Linked DNA regions of Saccharomyces cerevisiae S288C. Changing the gene in region 1 together with any one later gene gives a genetic interaction. Each region holds a gene or a part of one and is shown in the gene's direction. Other genes may lie near its edges. The genes, in order: FKH2, HSL1, HST3 and CLA4.

Region 1 (4,749 bases):
ATGTTGTCAACCAAAGATTTAACGGTTCTCAAAGCGGCAACGTGCTTTCTGTCACCGTTGTGAACAGCAACCTTGATCAATTGGTTGTTGACCTTGGTGAAGGTAACATCAATATGCTTCAAGTTCTTGGTCAAAGTACCTCTTGGACCGACAACCTTGACGATTCTGGACTTAATGCTGACAGTAACACCTTCTGGGATTTCAATTTGTTGTTCGGTTTGAATGTACTTCATCTTTAGTGACTATTGGAGGCTAGAGTTTGGTTTATTGTCGTTTCAGAGAGAGAAAATGAACTATTTCAAAAAGAGAATAGGTAAAGGGAAAGGAAATAGAAATATGGTTGGTAATTTTTTTTTTCATGTTTGCCGTCCGTTTAAATAATTTTCACTTTTCCTGTGCGTCGCTTTAAAAAAAAATTCACTAGAAGAAAAAAAAAAATTCCCAGTTAATAGTGCAGTCTTGGAAACAACACCAGTGCACCACATGAGTTTACACATCAGATGCAAACGGGATCGTACATTCGTAACATTGATGCTTGTATACGTCTCTCCTATAGTTCCTGGCAAGCACAACGTGTGACACAGAAGAAATGGCAATGCTAAACATGAAAATAGATTTTCTTGGCTGTAAGTAAATCGATTGCAAAATTGGTTCCTACCGCTACGATATCACACACTTGTCTTCTTAAAAGAGGAGCAGTAAATCCAAAATTTGCCTGGCATCAATAGTCGTCTTAAAAATGTCTAGAGGAACTACCTCTGTTATCTCTTCTTTTTGTTACTGACATACTAATTAATTTTTACATAATTGCTGTCCTCCTTCCCCTTCTATTTGCGAATTAGAAGTGATGAAAAAAGAGCTAAACATAAAGAAAAAAAACTTCCTTCGGCTGGTCCAAAAGGGTCCAATAGCAGAAAGTAAAAAGCTATTTTGAAACTATAGAACCTCAAGAACATTAACATTTGAGTCGGATCATGTCAACTGTAAGAACTGAATATTAATTCAACATATTTTAATAATTTGTGTCATATGTATCTTGCAACAGGCTTTCAAAAATTTGCTGCCTGTTGGGTACAGGCTGTTTTTTATTGATTACGCTTTATGCTTATCCCTTAAGCTGCAACATTTTGATGGCCTCTTCTTCCTGTCTCTTTCTGTGCCATATAATCGTTCCCTTAGCATTGATGATGACTTATGCCGGACCCCGCCCCAGAACCCTTCGCACAACATTACCGAAAATCTTCGATTTCGCTCATTAAAAGAGGGAAAAAAAATTCGCTCGCCCTGTGCCATTTGGATTTTCTAGGTAAATTAGTAAATAAAGAAAAAAAATGCCAATGGTTCCGCATTTCTAAAGGTAAACAAAAAAGTGACATTCATAGGATCACTATATTTCTGTAAAACTTAAAACACTATAGAGCAGTCCTTTTCCACTGAATTGAACCGCTCAATAATCAAGATCATACTAAGGAACAAAAGGCTAAAAACACTTCAAAGCCAATCTTCCCGATTCCCTCGCATAAGTGATCATTGCTAGAAAAAAAAAAAAAAAACAGTACGATACACATAAATATTGGTGTGCTCCCTCCGTTTCCTTTATTGAAACTTTATCAATGCGCAAGAAATGTCCAGCAGCAATTTTAACGAGATGAACGAACTAAATATGACTCAAACAAATTATGGCAGCACAAAATATACCGCTCAGCATCATCAAGGTGTAATAAATGCCATCATCTCTTCACTGACAGCCCCAGATCAGCCAACTACCGTATCATTACAATATTCCAACGACAAGAACATGGCGACGGAAATACAAGCTTATGCTAAACTCTCCGGACCAAACTGGACCTATTATGTGAAGGATTTGGAAGTTTCTATTGGTAGAAATACTGATCCCTTAAACAGTGCACTACAGGAAAATTCAGATGGTGTAAAAAACTCATATAGAGTGAATATTGATCTCGGACCTGCCAAAGTCGTTTCTAGAAAGCACGCCATAATAAAATACAACATGAATATCGGCGGTTGGGAATTGCACATATTGGGCCGTAACGGCGCTAAAGTAAACTTTCAAAGGACTCATAATGGACCCAACAATCCTCCCATTCGATTATCTTCCGGAACCCTGCTAGACATAGGAGGAACACAAATGATGTTTATCCTGCCCGACAGTGACCCGGTTGTTGCTCCTATTTGTATAGAACACCTGATGCCTAATTTAATAAACATGTTCGGATTGGAAGGCAACAACAACCCCCTGCTAAGAGACATTATAAAACAGTCTAATTATGCTAAGCAAAGGCAATTAACCTCTAATCAACAAATCAAAGGGTTTAAGCTTTATGGAAGTGGTGGCAATGCTCCTTTTGGTAGCGGAGCGAACTTGGGCCCTAGCGAACAAGGCATCTTCAACAACAATAATAATAGTAAGAACAAGAATGGCTACTTTACGTCCATAAACCCAAACTATACAGCATCTACAACAACAAGCAATACCATCAATCCACAAGCGGCTTCTCCACAGGGTCCTCCAAATACCATCATCGCTGCAAATTTTGTAGATTCATACAAGTCATCAAATGCCTATCCTCAAGCTTTGGATTTTACTTCGGACCTATCCCATGACGAAAACAGGAACGTTAAACCACCTCATTCATACGCAACTATGATAACACAGGCCATACTGTCGTCGCCGGAGGGAGTTATTTCACTAGCCGATATCTACAAGTATATTTCTTCCAATTATGCATACTACAGGTTTGCTAAATCCGGTTGGCAAAACTCCATTAGGCATAATTTATCATTAAATAAGGCGTTTGAAAAGGTTCCGAGAAGACCCAATGAGCCGGGCAAAGGTATGAAATGGAGAATTAGCGAATCTTATCAGCAAGAATTTCTAAACAAGTGGAATACCGGAAAAGTGGGGAAAATCAGGCGGGGATCCTCAGTAGCAAGGCAACTACAGTTACATATGGCAAAATTCAACAGTTTACCCATGGAAATGGACTATAGGTTATCGCTTAACATGGCTCAACCCCCTAAACGACAACTACAATCTCACAATGTGCTAGAACCATCCAACAATAACATCATAGAAGGGTTCGTACAACATGTCCCATCCAAAGGTAACCTTCCTGCATCGCAACAATCACAGCCCCCTGTGTCACATCAAAATCAGTCACAGCAGCCGCCACCACAGGAACAACGTCAAGAGATTCAATTTACCTTCGCGGATACCCAAAATCGAAATATAGCGTTAGCAAGACCTATCAAGACGCCACAATTGCAAGCTCCCAATTCAAATGCTAACTTAAATCAAAACAATATGAAAGAATACAAAGAGTCACTTCATCCGCCTGCAATATCAATATCACAAATGAATAGGCAATCTCCAAACAACGCTCTAGTCTCGTTCACTAATGCATGTGCTAATTCCAAAATAATAAACAACATCAGCGATAGCGCCGACAAATCGACAAACAATAACGGCGGTACCAAAATGAATCTACCCGCCATATCTACTTCTTCACTTGATGAAAATGGTAATTTGGAGCCGACAACTACCACGTCTTCCGGTAATTCTAACTCAGTTCCGCAAACTGGAACAACAACTTCCTCATTGGCAGCGAACAGTCTACGCCTTTCTCAACCATATGACACGCTATTACGATCTCCTACTAAGGCATTTCATATTACTGCGATGGAAGCATATACACCAGAAAGAGGAAGCGCTAATAGGGCTAGGTCACCTCTTCATAGTAATAGCAACAATACTAATAATAACGGCGCAAATAATTCTAATTTACAGACTAGCGGAATGGAAAACAAACAAACAGGTCTAGTATTGGATTCTAATGTCTTGAAAAGCATGGAATCAAACAATGATAATAGACGGCTGACACCATCAACAAGTAAATCGCAGAATGTCAAAAGTTCTCCAGGTGTATGGAATTTATTGCAGTTTAGCTCAACAAACAACACTCCTGCCGCAGATAGCGGAGGCAACAAGAGAGGATTTTCCATAAATCCGGACATTAAAGCCAAAGAAAACGAGAATGCTACTTCAGAAAAAGATTCGGACTCTAACTCAAATGATCTGGAAACTAAAGATATTAATTCTTCACCTTTGAAAAACCAAGGTGGTAGCACCGCCAATGCCAAGGAACTAATACTAGATACGGATGGTGCAAAGATCAGTATTATCAACAACTAAGACAAGAAACAAGGTGAATCACTAAGACTAAAGAAATGAATGAGAAATGGCTAAGCTGCAGCCAGTCATATGAGCTGCTTTCCTTTCATTCTATTGTCGTCCGAATCTATGTCACGAAGTACATATATAACTGTCTTTCATATATAATATTTAATCACCGTGCATTCCCTATTTTACTCTTCCTCATGCGTTTGATCATCTGACCTTTATGATTTTGAACACCCCGCAATGTTCACTCTAATTTATGCAACTGAACTTTATTTTCGCTGCTGTGTTTGCATCCTTGACATATTCAATCCGTACACTATACACACCCAAACCTCCTTTAAAAATTTCCTATGAATCAGAAAATTTGGCTGTTTCTCAACGCTTCGGCCAACGGGTGAAAAACAGCGGCAGAAGGACTTCCTTCGGAGAACGCTCCTAGAACCTGAAACTGCCCGCTAAAGCGTCTCCTGGGCTGTCCCCAAGTGGGTGATTTTCCATTTGATCCTTGTATCAGCTTGGGAGGGTGGTGATCTCTTCTTAGGCAGACA
Region 2 (6,696 bases), on another chromosome or scaffold:
GGATAAAGGCAGATAGGTTAGTTCCATTTCTTATAGTGTAGAATTTCCCACCATCTTCGCCAATGGAGTCCTGCCAATTGGATTTCTCGCTCAAGTATTTGAAGTTATGCTTATCTAACAGCTCCGCGAAAAATGATACTACATGGTAAGTGGTAGGGTTCTTGTAAATGAAATCAATGAATTCCTGTGCAATATCCTCATAATTGTGCTCGAGGATGCACCACGAATTTTCATTTTCTTTCTTTTCCTTTTCTTCGTTGGCGATTTGGTTATTTTTAGATGGCTCTACAGTTAGCATCTGCAGAGTTTTCTTCAATTGTTCCAGTATTTCACGTTGTTCCTCCATTCTTTTTTTCTTAATTTTGTTGGTTGTGCAGGTTTCTACAATTGCACTAAGATTACTGATCAGGCTCTATACAGTGTATGTCTTGTTCTGTGAAGTCAACTGCTTATAAATGAATTTTTATTATCTAATGGAACGATTAAGGGGTGTGTCAACTATTTCACTTAACCCTATTCTTTCTTACTGTCGTTTGCTTGCATAGCCTATCTTACAGTAATAGAGGTGCAAAACAGCATCACCCCTAGTTGTTTTTCCCGAAAAACCTATCCCAGATTATTTTTTTTTTGAATTAGACAAGAAATCATCCGAAGACCTATTATGCTTCTGATTAAACCTTGAGAAAAACGGAAGTTTGCAACCTATACCCTAAAGTAGAAGCTGACTAATTCATATTCCTCACGAAATGGTGCGACCTCTCTTTATCCATGAGAAAAGGAAGGAGTGGGTTCTTGTTTGATGCTTCTTTATCTGATACCAACAAGCGCAAGAGATAAGGGATTACAATGTTATCATGCCTCAGAAAGTAATAGGATGACATTTTCTTGCAAACGTTGACATTAAAAACATAAAGTACCTTACGGCGTTCGGAGCCTACAAGCCTGCCACAATTTGAGCCGCTGCACAAGAGAACACCGAATGAACAACTGGCTGCAGCTGTCGATGAAACCTCAGCGAATAAAGCACACATTTGTGCGTTTTACAATAACAGGGAAGGTGGAATGTGTTGCCTTCGTCCTTATTTTTCGCGTTGTGAAATATTTTTACTAATTTTTCTTTTCGCGTGGTCATTTTCGCGTTGGGTTGTTTGGGCTAAATAGTGAAAACTAATCTCCATCACGTACCGTACCGTCTTGTACCGGCTGGGAGCAGCATTATAGTGGCCACTCTTATTGGCGTTCTTAATATAAGCAAGTTACCTTTTGCTCGAAACCTGTTTCTTCTTAAAACTCCCTTTGGATCGTAAGTTCGCTAGTTATCCGACTGCAAGGACGTAAATTGGACAGCGAGAGGCCATTAAAACAGAGAGTTGAACTCAAATAGATCATCAAATAGGTTGGATATCCATCATACTACTTGCTACTAATCGCGAAAAGAGATAAATAATAAAATTACAAGAAAGACAAGGTAAAAAGAACGACATAGATTTGCGGGACAAAAAATACTGATAAATAAATCAACAACCAACTATATTCACTCCTTTATTATTTGTTATTAATATTTTTTATTTTTACCACACGACATGACTGGTCACGTTTCAAAAACGAGCCACGTACCCAAAGGTCGCCCGTCTTCATTGGCCAAGAAGGCAGCTAAAAGGGCCATGGCCAAAGTAAATTCGAATCCAAAAAGGGCGTCGGGGCATTTGGAGCGTGTTGTACAATCTGTGAACGACGCTACCAAAAGATTATCTCAGCCCGACTCTACCGTAAGTGTTGCTACAAAATCATCAAAGAGAAAATCCAGAGACACGGTGGGTCCTTGGAAACTTGGCAAAACATTGGGGAAGGGATCTTCTGGTAGGGTTCGCTTGGCTAAAAATATGGAAACAGGACAATTAGCTGCCATTAAAATTGTCCCCAAGAAGAAAGCCTTTGTTCATTGTTCTAATAATGGAACTGTTCCTAATTCTTACTCTTCTTCCATGGTCACTTCCAATGTATCTTCTCCATCAATAGCATCTAGAGAACATAGTAACCATTCTCAAACGAACCCATATGGCATAGAGAGAGAAATAGTAATCATGAAATTGATATCTCACACAAACGTTATGGCATTGTTTGAAGTTTGGGAGAACAAATCAGAGCTGTACCTAGTTTTGGAATATGTTGATGGTGGCGAATTATTCGATTATCTGGTCTCGAAGGGAAAGCTACCTGAAAGGGAGGCTATCCATTACTTCAAGCAGATAGTTGAAGGTGTTTCCTATTGTCATTCTTTTAATATATGCCATCGTGATCTGAAGCCTGAAAATTTATTATTAGATAAAAAGAATAGGAGAATCAAAATTGCTGATTTCGGCATGGCAGCATTAGAGCTTCCTAATAAACTTTTAAAAACTTCATGTGGCTCTCCACACTATGCGTCTCCTGAAATTGTTATGGGTAGACCATATCATGGCGGTCCTAGCGATGTCTGGTCCTGCGGTATCGTTTTATTTGCATTACTCACCGGTCATTTACCATTTAATGATGACAACATCAAAAAGCTGTTGTTGAAAGTTCAATCGGGCAAATATCAAATGCCCTCAAATTTATCTTCTGAGGCTCGTGATTTGATATCAAAAATATTGGTAATTGATCCAGAAAAAAGAATTACCACTCAAGAGATATTGAAGCATCCTCTGATCAAAAAATATGATGATCTCCCAGTTAATAAAGTGCTGAGGAAAATGAGAAAGGATAACATGGCGAGGGGAAAATCTAACTCGGATTTGCATTTGCTAAATAATGTCTCGCCCTCTATTGTAACTTTACATTCAAAAGGGGAAATTGATGAATCCATCTTGAGGAGTTTGCAAATTTTGTGGCATGGAGTTTCTCGTGAACTAATCACTGCCAAGTTGCTTCAAAAGCCAATGTCGGAGGAAAAACTATTCTACTCACTGTTATTACAATATAAACAACGTCACTCAATATCATTGTCCTCGTCAAGCGAAAACAAGAAATCAGCAACAGAAAGTAGCGTAAATGAACCTAGGATTGAATACGCATCCAAAACTGCCAATAATACAGGCCTAAGGAGCGAGAACAATGATGTGAAGACTTTACATTCTCTAGAAATTCATTCAGAAGATACTTCAACAGTGAATCAGAACAACGCAATTACAGGGGTTAATACAGAAATTAATGCCCCTGTATTGGCACAAAAATCGCAATTTAGTATCAATACGCTCAGTCAACCTGAAAGTGATAAGGCTGAAGCAGAAGCTGTAACATTACCACCCGCTATTCCCATATTCAATGCTTCTTCATCAAGGATTTTCCGTAACTCATACACCTCTATTTCATCACGTTCGAGAAGATCGCTACGCTTATCGAATTCCAGATTATCATTGTCCGCTTCAACTTCTAGAGAAACTGTGCATGATAATGAGATGCCTCTACCTCAACTGCCGAAGTCGCCTTCAAGATATTCATTGTCAAGAAGGGCAATCCACGCCTCCCCATCTACTAAATCAATACATAAATCACTTTCGAGGAAGAATATAGCTGCAACTGTTGCCGCTAGAAGAACACTACAAAACTCGGCTTCAAAGAGATCCTTATACTCATTACAGTCAATTTCAAAACGTTCCTTGAACCTGAATGATTTATTAGTCTTTGACGATCCTCTCCCTAGTAAGAAACCAGCATCCGAAAATGTGAATAAATCAGAACCCCATTCGTTGGAATCAGACTCTGATTTTGAGATCTTATGCGATCAGATCTTATTTGGAAACGCCTTAGATAGGATACTCGAAGAGGAAGAGGACAATGAAAAAGAACGCGACACCCAAAGACAGAGGCAAAACGATACAAAATCTTCGGCAGACACTTTTACGATCTCTGGGGTGTCTACAAATAAGGAAAATGAGGGCCCGGAGTATCCAACCAAAATTGAGAAAAATCAATTCAATATGTCATATAAACCATCTGAGAATATGTCAGGGCTCTCTTCATTTCCTATCTTTGAAAAAGAAAACACGTTAAGCTCAAGTTATTTGGAAGAACAGAAGCCAAAGAGAGCGGCCCTTTCAGATATCACGAACTCATTCAATAAAATGAATAAACAGGAAGGTATGAGGATAGAAAAAAAGATTCAAAGAGAACAACTTCAAAAAAAAAATGACCGCCCGTCACCACTCAAACCTATTCAGCACCAAGAACTTCGTGTAAATTCTTTGCCTAATGATCAAGGTAAACCGTCCTTATCTCTAGATCCCCGCCGTAACATCTCCCAGCCAGTGAATTCAAAAGTGGAATCACTATTGCAGGGACTGAAATTCAAAAAGGAGCCAGCCTCTCACTGGACCCATGAGAGAGGTTCCTTGTTCATGAGTGAACATGTGGAAGACGAAAAACCAGTCAAAGCCTCAGATGTTTCAATCGAAAGTTCATATGTACCTTTAACAACAGTAGCAACATCTTCGAGAGATCCCAGTGTTTTAGCAGAATCTAGTACAATTCAAAAACCAATGCTGTCTTTACCTTCTAGTTTTTTGAACACATCTATGACGTTCAAAAATCTTAGCCAGATACTCGCTGATGACGGTGATGATAAGCATCTAAGTGTGCCACAGAACCAATCTAGAAGTGTAGCCATGTCACACCCTTTGCGAAAACAATCTGCCAAAATATCTCTAACTCCACGGTCTAATTTGAACGCCAATTTATCCGTTAAACGTAATCAGGGCTCACCTGGCTCCTATTTGAGTAATGATCTGGATGGAATCTCTGATATGACATTTGCGATGGAAATACCAACAAACACCTTTACCGCTCAGGCGATTCAACTGATGAACAACGACACGGACAATAATAAAATCAATACTTCGCCCAAAGCATCTTCTTTTACAAAAGAAAAAGTAATCAAATCGGCAGCCTATATCTCGAAGGAAAAAGAACCAGATAATAGCGATACTAATTATATTCCAGATTATACTATACCAAACACATATGATGAAAAAGCCATTAATATTTTTGAAGATGCGCCCTCCGATGAGGGTTCATTAAATACATCTTCTTCAGAAAGCGATTCACGAGCAAGTGTGCATAGGAAAGCGGTATCTATTGACACTATGGCGACAACAAACGTTCTTACTCCCGCGACAAATGTTAGAGTAAGTCTTTATTGGAATAATAACAGTTCTGGTATACCCAGAGAGACTACTGAAGAGATACTTTCTAAACTTAGATTGTCACCAGAAAATCCTTCTAATACACATATGCAAAAGAGGTTTTCTTCCACGCGTGGTAGTCGTGATAGTAATGCATTAGGCATTTCTCAAAGTTTACAGTCAATGTTCAAAGATTTGGAGGAAGATCAAGATGGGCATACTTCTCAAGCTGATATTCTTGAATCAAGTATGAGCTATTCAAAGCGAAGACCATCTGAGGAAAGCGTTAATCCAAAACAACGAGTGACAATGCTTTTCGATGAGGAGGAGGAAGAATCTAAAAAAGTAGGTGGGGGAAAAATTAAAGAAGAGCATACCAAGCTAGACAATAAAATATCCGAGGAATCTTCTCAACTTGTGTTGCCGGTGGTTGAAAAAAAGGAAAATGCAAATAATACAGAAAATAACTACTCTAAAATACCAAAACCCTCAACGATTAAAGTTACGAAGGATACCGCTATGGAATCAAATACACAAACCCATACAAAAAAGCCAATTCTAAAAAGTGTCCAAAATGTTGAAGTTGAAGAAGCGCCTTCCAGTGATAAAAAGAATTGGTTCGTCAAACTATTTCAAAACTTTTCTTCTCATAATAATGCTACTAAGGCATCCAAGAATCATGTAACGAATATATCATTTGATGATGCGCATATGCTAACATTAAATGAATTCAACAAGAATAGTATCGACTATCAATTAAAGAACCTAGATCACAAATTTGGGAGAAAGGTGGTGGAATACGATTGTAAATTTGTAAAAGGCAACTTCAAATTCAAAATCAAGATTACTAGCACACCCAATGCATCTACGGTAATTACTGTAAAAAAAAGAAGCAAACATTCAAACACAAGTTCCAATAAAGCCTTTGAAAAGTTTAATGATGATGTGGAGAGAGTAATTCGAAATGCCGGACGTTCATAAATTCTATATAGATGTTATATAATTATACAACAATAATTTGAAAAATTTAACGTACGAGAACCGAATGGACAGGCGTGAGAAAACATAGTTTAAAAGAACATTAATAAATGGAGAGACATGAGACACGAAGGAAAGAAAGAGGGTTTTACAAACATTGTCCTAGATTAGAAGATAAATACAACCCTGGAGGGGTAAAAAGAGCTGTCGTTTCTTTTGGAGCTCAAGAAGATTCGTCATCCAAGAGATCTTCTTCAGAAAGCTCTTCCTCAGAGCTGTCACTGAGATCTTCCTCTTGCACGAATTCTTCATCATCGTCAAAATTTTCGTTTACATCATCACCAAGCAAGGCATACTTGTCGGCATCATTATAGTATTCTGATAGGATGAAGGTCGAATAAGTTATAGAGTTCTCCTTTTTTTCTATCGCTTTTTTTAAACTTTTATCCACTTCAATCGTATCATACTGAAAATTCCAAAACTGCTTAAAATCCTTGTTCCAGCAAGCTACCAAAATAGTACTAATCAACAAGGAAGGAACAATGTATAATAAAGCCGG
Region 3 (3,593 bases), on another chromosome or scaffold:
GTTTTTCTAAATGAGGAGTGTTCTTGACAGTCTTTGGAGCCCGCGTATGGTTCTCGGAGTGGTTGATTGGTGATTGTGGTTTTGGGATTGCAATGTCAGAGGGTAGGTAGTCTTTGTTTGGGTCCAAATTTAGTTTCTTGAACTTAGATAAAATTTCCGGATCCTGCTTATCATTAGGAAGTAGTTTTTGGTTGTTTAAAACTGCCAATGGTTGGCTTGAATATAGTTTAGAATGTTTTAGTCGAGTATGGTTCACGATACCTTGCGCGGAAGTGAAACCGGAACGGTCACATTTGGAGCACGTAATTATAACCAAAATGCCGTCATATCTTCTAAAAATGGGCTCATTATTTTCAGTCTTACCGATGATACCGCTATTGCTCGTCAAACAAGTGCTACTGTAATTACGTCTGTGGTTAAGATGCATCTGACTTGGTTTAAAAGGGAGTATCTGGAACCCCGGCTGCTCGTCTAAGGGGGAGATTGAGGAGGAACGAGGTGAAGAAATGCCATCCGAATTAGAGTGAGGAAGCGAGACGGGAGTGGGCTTGGTTATGGCTTCTGATAGAGATTTAGAACCTGTTAGCCTGTAATCAATTATATTCGAATTTGCCGGACGGAGGGCAGAAGGTTCTAGCAAAAGCCCGTTACTCTTGCTTCTAGTATGATAATGGTGGTGTGGTATGCGTGTTGTTGACAGATTTCTGTTGCTGCTCGAAGACAAAGGCTGACAGTTGATGTTATAATCCGATAGAACCGGGTATGACAGGTTATAATTTGATGCGTTCGTATTTTCCGTAGCCGTACTGTCGTGAAAGTGGCCGCCGAGCACGCTATGCTGCTGATGTTGTTTTATTTTGAGTTGATACGTCCGTTCGATTTTGTTCAATAGACCAGTATCCTTATGCAGGGTTTCCAAGAGAGCTAGTTTTGCGTTAACCTTTTGAACATTTCTTCGTAAGTGCCTAACATGCTTGTGGTTTAGCATTATATGTAGGTTCAAAACATTCTGTATTTCCCCTTTGGCACATTCGTACTTCAACCGCTGGGTATTTTCGCTATCCTTGTCCGGATTACTGGTGGCGGTGTCCATTTTGAAGGGCTCATCCATGTTGTTTTCCAAATCCTGAGGAGACTTTGGCGTGGTAACCTGATAAACGTTCGTCATCTTAGAGGATGACGATGAGGAAGAATTAGGATTATGATGCTGGTGCTGCAGTTTATCTTGGGCGGGACTCATCATGAGGAGATGGACATATACACAAAGTGTTGGATGAGAAGCGTGAGCCCGAAGAGTAGTGAAATGCCGAAGATCAGGGTGTTTATATGAACGAACACTAGCTTACAAATGTGGAAACGGGATCCTTCAGAGGTAAAATGCGCCTTCAGTGGCCAAAGTTCATCACCTTCCTTAGCACGGGTTCTTGCTGTCTGCTCTTCCTGCTTCTTCCCTGTTCGTTTTTCCCTCTTCCTACGGCTATGCACAGTGGCAAATGCACTGCATGTGTTTCTGTGGCGGGTATCCCTCAATTGCGGGTAACAATAAGTAACTCAACATCACGAACGACGTTTATGTTTGCTGTTACCACAAAGGGTAAAACGTCAATAAAAGCAAGCAATGTTATTCGTGCCAGAGAACTATATCTGGCGTACGTCTTATATATAACACAAGCAAGGGCAAATACGTGGTTAGTGGTGTAAAAACTGAAGGGATTAATTTACATACAACTAGATCCATCTTTCTCAAAAATGACTTCAGTATCGCCCTCGCCACCTGCCAGTCGATCGGGCTCAATGTGCTCCGACTTACCGTCCTCTTTGCAGACTGAGAAACTGGCACATATTATAGGTCTTGATGCCGACGATGAAGTTCTCCGGCGCGTAACCAAGCAGTTGAGCAGATCTAGGAGAATTGCTTGTCTGACTGGGGCAGGCATTTCGTGCAACGCGGGCATTCCTGACTTTCGCTCTTCTGATGGGCTCTACGACCTAGTGAAAAAGGATTGTTCACAGTATTGGTCTATCAAGTCCGGCAGGGAAATGTTTGATATTTCGCTATTTAGAGATGACTTCAAAATATCCATTTTTGCTAAATTTATGGAGAGGCTCTATTCAAATGTTCAATTGGCAAAGCCGACTAAGACGCACAAGTTCATTGCGCATCTAAAAGATAGGAACAAACTGCTGCGCTGTTACACGCAAAACATCGATGGGCTCGAAGAAAGCATAGGACTTACTTTATCAAATAGGAAATTACCGCTTACCTCATTTAGTTCACATTGGAAAAATCTGGATGTCGTTCAGTTGCACGGCGACCTGAAAACTCTTTCGTGTACAAAGTGCTTCCAGACTTTTCCCTGGAGCAGGTACTGGTCTCGTTGTCTAAGAAGAGGTGAGTTACCATTGTGTCCGGATTGCGAAGCACTTATCAACAAGAGATTGAATGAAGGAAAGCGAACTCTTGGTTCTAATGTGGGTATTCTAAGACCTAATATCGTCCTGTATGGTGAAAACCATCCATCCTGTGAAATTATTACGCAAGGCCTAAATCTTGACATAATTAAAGGCAATCCTGATTTTTTGATCATCATGGGTACAAGTTTGAAAGTTGATGGTGTGAAACAACTGGTAAAAAAATTAAGTAAGAAAATTCACGATCGTGGCGGCCTGATCATTCTCGTAAACAAGACACCCATTGGCGAATCCTCTTGGCACGGCATTATAGACTACCAAATCCACTCAGATTGTGATAATTGGGTCACATTTCTTGAATCCCAAATACCAGATTTCTTCAAGACGCAAGATCAAATTAAGAAGTTAAGACAGTTAAAAAGGGAGGCGAGCGACTTGAGAAAGCAAATGAAGGCCCAAAAAGACTCAATCGGAACCCCCCCAACAACCCCTCTACGAACTGCCCAGGGGATTGATATTCAAGGAAACAACGAATTGAATACAAAAATAAAGTCGTTAAACACAGTTAAGAGAAAAATACTGTCACCAGAAAACTCCAGTGAGGAAGACGAAGAGGAAAACTTGGATACAAGAAAACGCGCTAAGATACGACCAACTTTCGGTGACAACCAAGCCTCATAAACTTAACTATTAAAATTGAGTTAACGATAAATAATCGAGGCAGACACCCCTTTGCATAATATATCATCCGTTTAATTTATCTTCCATTTATATACTCATACATATACCAACGGAGATCTGCATGTCCGAGAATACAAAAAATAGTGAACGAAAAAAATATCACATCGCGAAAGAAAAGCTATCTGATATCTGCAACACGAAAACACAACAGTCGCGGCATGCAGATAGTACAAATTGAGCAGGCCCCAAAAGACTACATAAGCGACATCAAAATAATCCCTTCCAAGTCACTGCTTTTGATTACGTCTTGGGATGGCTCTTTAACAGTCTACAAATTCGACATTCAAGCAAAGAATGTTGACCTTTTACAATCGCTACGATATAAACATCCGTTATTGTGCTGCAATTTCATCGACAATACCGATCTGCAAATATACGTGGGAACTGTACAGGGTGAAATTCTAAAAGTTGATTTGATAGGTAGTCCCAGCTTCCAAGCT
Region 4 (4,673 bases), 430 kb from region 1:
GTTAAAACGCGAGTGCCTATTATCAAATTCATAGAGCCCCAATCACAGTTACATATCGACGTTTCATTTGAAAGAACGAACGGGTTAGAGGCTGCAAAACTCATCAGGGAATGGCTAAGAGACTCTCCAGGGTTACGTGAACTGGTACTGATAATAAAACAATTTTTGCATTCAAGACGATTGAACAATGTGCACACAGGAGGATTGGGAGGTTTCACAGTAATCTGTTTGGTTTATTCTTTTTTAAATATGCATCCGCGAATAAAATCAAACGATATCGACGTTCTAGATAACCTGGGTGTTCTACTGATTGACTTCTTCGAACTTTACGGAAAAAATTTTGGTTATGATGACGTTGCTATAAGCATATCTGATGGTTACGCCTCTTATATTCCTAAATCGTGTTGGAGAACTTTGGAACCTTCAAGGAGTAAATTCTCGCTAGCTATTCAAGATCCTGGTGATCCTAACAATAATATAAGCAGAGGCTCCTTTAATATGAAGGATATAAAAAAGGCCTTTGCTGGTGCCTTCGAACTGTTGGTCAATAAATGCTGGGAATTGAATTCTGCTACATTCAAAGACCGCGTTGGAAAAAGTATACTCGGAAACGTGATCAAATACCGTGGGCAAAAGAGAGATTTCAACGACGAAAGAGATTTAGTGCAGAATAAAGCCATCATTGAAAACGAGCGCTACCACAAGAGGCGCACGAGGATAGTTCAAGAAGATTTATTTATAAACGACACCGAAGACTTGCCAGTAGAGGAGATCTACAAACTTGACGAACCTGCAAAGAAGAAACAGAAGGCAAAAAAGGATAAGAGAGAAGGGGAAATCAAAAAGAGTGCCATTCCATCTCCACCTCCGGATTTTGGAGTGAGCAGAAGCAAATTGAAACGCAAAGTGAAAAAAACTGATCAGGGCTCTCTCCTACACCAAAACAACCTCAGCATAGATGACTTGATGGGACTTTCTGAGAATGATCAAGAATCCGATCAAGATCAAAAAGGAAGAGATACCCCTTCGGGACAAGATGAGAAATCACCACTGGAAACTAAGACAGTAGATGCTCAAACGAGAAGGGACTACTGGCTCTCTAAAGGCCAGGCTCTTTAACACAATATAGACTCTTATAGACTATTTACTATTTATACAAGAATACCACATCGATGTCCAAGTGAAACAATAAGCTAATGATATCAAACGCGTGGGTATTTTCCCTTTCCGGAAATATAGAGCCACCAAAAAAGGATAGTTTCCCGATATGGAAATTTTCTCGAGCCGGTAAGATGACGAAATTTTTCATCTCTGGCATGATAGAAACATAGTATGGAACGTGCAGGAGAGTCTGATTCGAGACACATAATTTGAAAGAACCTTCTAGCCTGAGCCTTGTACATGTATTAGCGTTGCCAGTTATTTGCTTCTGCTGCTAATAAGATCAAAACCTTAAGTCCTTTATTTCGATCGAACGTACTGCGCTACTGAAAACCATTGCATCTTTTGCTATCATTCATTCCTGGTGGTTTCTTTGGTGTAATAAATCGAACAGTGAAACTGAAACATAAAAGAAATAGTGCAAAATATGTCTCTTTCAGCTGCAGCGAATAAGATATCTGACAACGATTTCCAAAATATCGGACCGGCACCTAGACCTCCCAGTTCAAATAGCCAGGGCCGTACTTGCTATAATCAAACGCAACCTATAACCAAACTTATGAGTCAACTGGATTTAACATCAGCGTCCCATTTAGGTACAAGTACCTCCAAAAAAAAAAGCGGGTGGGTGTCCTACAAAGATGACGGTATACTTTCATTTATATGGCAAAAGAGATACCTGATGCTACACGATTCGTATGTAGCCCTTTACAAGAACGATAAACAAAATGACGATGCGATCTTGAAGATACCACTAACTAGTATTATAAGTGTAAGCAGGACACAGTTGAAACAATATTGTTTTGAGTTGGTGCGCTGCAGTGACCGAAATTCTGTATCATCAGGATCCTCGTCCTCTTTGAATGTATCATCAGACAGTAACTCCAAAAAATCAATATACATTGCTACAAAGACAGAAAGCGATTTGCATAGTTGGTTAGACGCCATTTTTGCTAAATGTCCATTATTAAGTGGTGTATCTTCTCCAACAAACTTCACACATAAAGTTCACGTTGGTTTTGATCCAGAAACAGGTAGTTTTGTTGGTATGCCCACCAACTGGGAAAAATTATTAAAGCACTCCAGAATTACAGGAGAAGATTGGAACAATAATTCTGCGGCTGTCATTCAAGTGTTGCAGTTTTATCAAGAGTATAATGGAGCCGGAAATCCCACAAATACTTTAGACAAGCCTCAAAGTGGTGAAACTTCCTCCTCTCAAAAATCGCTGCCAAACAGCTATAATGATAACAAACTCAGAAATAATTCAGTAAATTCAAAGTCATCTTCAGGCGTTTCTTCAAGTATGGTATCACAGAGGAAAACCTCACAACCACCAAATACCAAATCGCCTGTTTCTCTAGGAAGCGGCTCACTGCCACCAATAAATACAAAATTGCCCACTAGTCAGTCAAATATTCCAAGACACTTACAAAATGTTCCCAACCAACAATATCCTAAGATGAGAAACGGACACTCCCCAACCAATGGCCAATTTCCTAGGGGACCTATGCATCCAAACAATTCTCAACGATCTTTGCAGCAGCAGCAGCAGCAGCAGCAGCAACAAAAACAACAGCATCAACAATATCCATACCACCATCAAGGACCATCTCCATCTCCATCCCCATCTCCGTCTCCATTAAACCCTTATAGGCCACATCACAATATGATAAATCCTTATTCCAAACAACCTCAATCGCCATTAAGTTCACAGTCGACCCAAAACCAAGCAATTCCACGTTATGCACAAAACTCAAGTCCTACAGCCGCACACTTTCAACCTCAAAGAACAGCTCCAAAGCCACCAATATCAGCTCCAAGGGCGCCATACCCATCAAATCAAAATGCTACTAGTAACACACATGTACAGCCTGTTGCACCTAAGAATGACCAGTCAACCCCACAAACAATGAGGCAGGCCCCAAAGAGACCGGATGCAGATGTCGCACAACCGGGTGGTGTGGCCAAACCGAAGAAGCCAGCAAGGCCTACCATGTCAACTGCAGAAATAATGAGTAAGCTGAAGAAAGTCACCGTAAATGCGGATCCATCTCAATGCTTTAAAGTGATCGAGAAGGCCGGTCAAGGTGCAAGTGGGTCCGTCTACCTTGCAGAGAGGACGCATATTCCGACAGAAAGTAATATGATCGAACTCATAAACAATGATATTGATGAGCCGCACGTAGGAGATAAAGTTGCTATCAAGCAAATGGTCTTATCTAAACAACCTCGTAAAGAACTCATAGTGAATGAAATTTTGGTTATGAAGGATTCACGTCATAAAAATATCGTCAATTTTCTCGAGGCTTATTTGAGAACAGACGATGACCTATGGGTTGTGATGGAGTTTATGGAAGGAGGTTCACTAACAGACATTATCGAGAATAGTCCCACCAACGATAATTCACATTCACCACTAACAGAACCCCAAATTGCATATATCGTACGAGAAACTTGCCAAGGCTTGAAATTTCTACACGACAAGCATATCATTCATAGGGATATTAAATCAGATAATGTCTTGCTGGACACTAGAGCTAGGGTGAAAATTACCGATTTTGGGTTTTGCGCCAGATTAACTGATAAAAGAAGCAAAAGAGCCACTATGGTTGGGACACCTTACTGGATGGCACCTGAAGTTGTCAAACAACGTGAATACGATGAAAAGATTGACGTATGGTCTTTGGGTATCATGACCATTGAAATGCTGGAGGGTGAACCACCATATTTAAATGAAGATCCACTAAAGGCGTTGTACTTAATTGCAACTAATGGTACACCAAAGCTCAAGCATCCAGAAAGTTTGTCTTTAGAAATTAAACGCTTTCTAAGCGTTTGCCTTTGCGTAGATGTTAGATATAGGGCATCAACCGAAGAGCTTTTACACCACGGTTTTTTCAATATGGCATGTGATCCAAAGGATTTGACATCACTGTTGGAGTGGAAGGAATGAAGCACACAACTATTTCTATAAGCATATCATACATACTACAATCTTATGTATTTCTTTTCTTTTAGCTATGCATACCAATGGCATAATATATAAATACGTTCACCTTAAAAGTTTTTTTTTTAAAGTAAATAAAAAAAGACCTGCAACGATACAATAATCAATCCAATGTCGTTTAATATTACTATTTATCCTACGTGATTTTTAAAAATATTCGTCCATGCTTCAGCTTCTAGTCTAGTTTCGTAAATCCAAGTGATAATTCCAAAACTTTATCTTGGAGGCCATCCATTTTATGAGATACTGGGATGGTTCTTAAAATCAACGGACTTAATGTTTGTAGGTTTTCAACTCCAATTTGTTTGTTGCCAAGGGTCGAATTTTGATCTAGAACACCTCTTAAAATCACGCATAGCCCATTTAATAGAGTAGCTAGTTCTGTTTTACGCAATTTTGGTATTGGTGCTCGCCCAATCAAGTATTCATCTGAGATATATCTTCTAAGAGCAAGGGCAATTCTTGCAGAAAGATAAGGAGCAGTTAACTTTCTTAATTTCTC

The links.
Region 2: mutations in FKH2 (region 1) and HSL1 together harm fitness more than expected from each alone (negative genetic interaction), as found in Saccharomyces cerevisiae (5 studies listed by BioGRID, with this or other methods).
Region 3: mutations in FKH2 (region 1) and HST3 together harm fitness more than expected from each alone (negative genetic interaction), as found in Saccharomyces cerevisiae (3 studies listed by BioGRID).
Region 4: mutations in FKH2 (region 1) and CLA4 together harm fitness more than expected from each alone (negative genetic interaction), as found in Saccharomyces cerevisiae (5 studies listed by BioGRID, with this or other methods).

Annotation. Positions count from the first base shown.
Region 1 is NC_001146.8:495,165-499,913, reverse strand, and holds FKH2 (forkhead family transcription factor FKH2), read left to right. Parts: upstream 1-1,624; coding exon 1,625-4,213; downstream 4,214-4,749. Other genes in the region: 60S ribosomal protein uL6 RPL9B, read right to left, coding at 1-233; YNL067W-B (uncharacterized protein), read right to left, coding at 357-497. UniProt on the Saccharomyces cerevisiae protein: Transcription factor that regulates the expression of the CLB2 cluster of genes during the G2/M phase of the mitotic cell cycle.
Region 2 is NC_001143.9:247,337-254,032, forward strand, and holds HSL1 (protein kinase HSL1), read left to right. Parts: upstream 1-1,583; coding exon 1,584-6,140; downstream 6,141-6,696. Other genes in the region: metalloaminopeptidase APE1, read right to left, coding at 1-346; YKL102C (uncharacterized protein), read right to left, coding at 726-1,031; YPF1 (aspartic endopeptidase), read right to left, coding at 6,361-6,696.
Region 3 is NC_001147.6:376,470-380,062, forward strand, and holds HST3 (NAD-dependent histone deacetylase HST3), read left to right. Parts: upstream 1-1,749; coding exon 1,750-3,093; downstream 3,094-3,593. Other genes in the region: AHC1 (Ahc1p), read right to left, coding at 1-1,243; BUB3 (Bub3p), read left to right, coding at 3,312-3,593. UniProt on the Saccharomyces cerevisiae protein: NAD-dependent histone deacetylase, which contributes together with HST4 to histone H3 'Lys-56' deacetylation, regulation of telomeric silencing, proper cell cycle progression, DNA damage control, DNA recombination, and genomic maintenance.
Region 4 is NC_001146.8:67,327-71,999, forward strand, and holds CLA4 (serine/threonine protein kinase CLA4), read left to right. Parts: upstream 1-1,588; coding exon 1,589-4,117; downstream 4,118-4,673. Other genes in the region: non-canonical poly(A) polymerase TRF5, read left to right, coding at 1-1,119; MON2 (Mon2p), read right to left, coding at 4,347-4,673. UniProt on the Saccharomyces cerevisiae protein: Involved in budding and cytokinesis.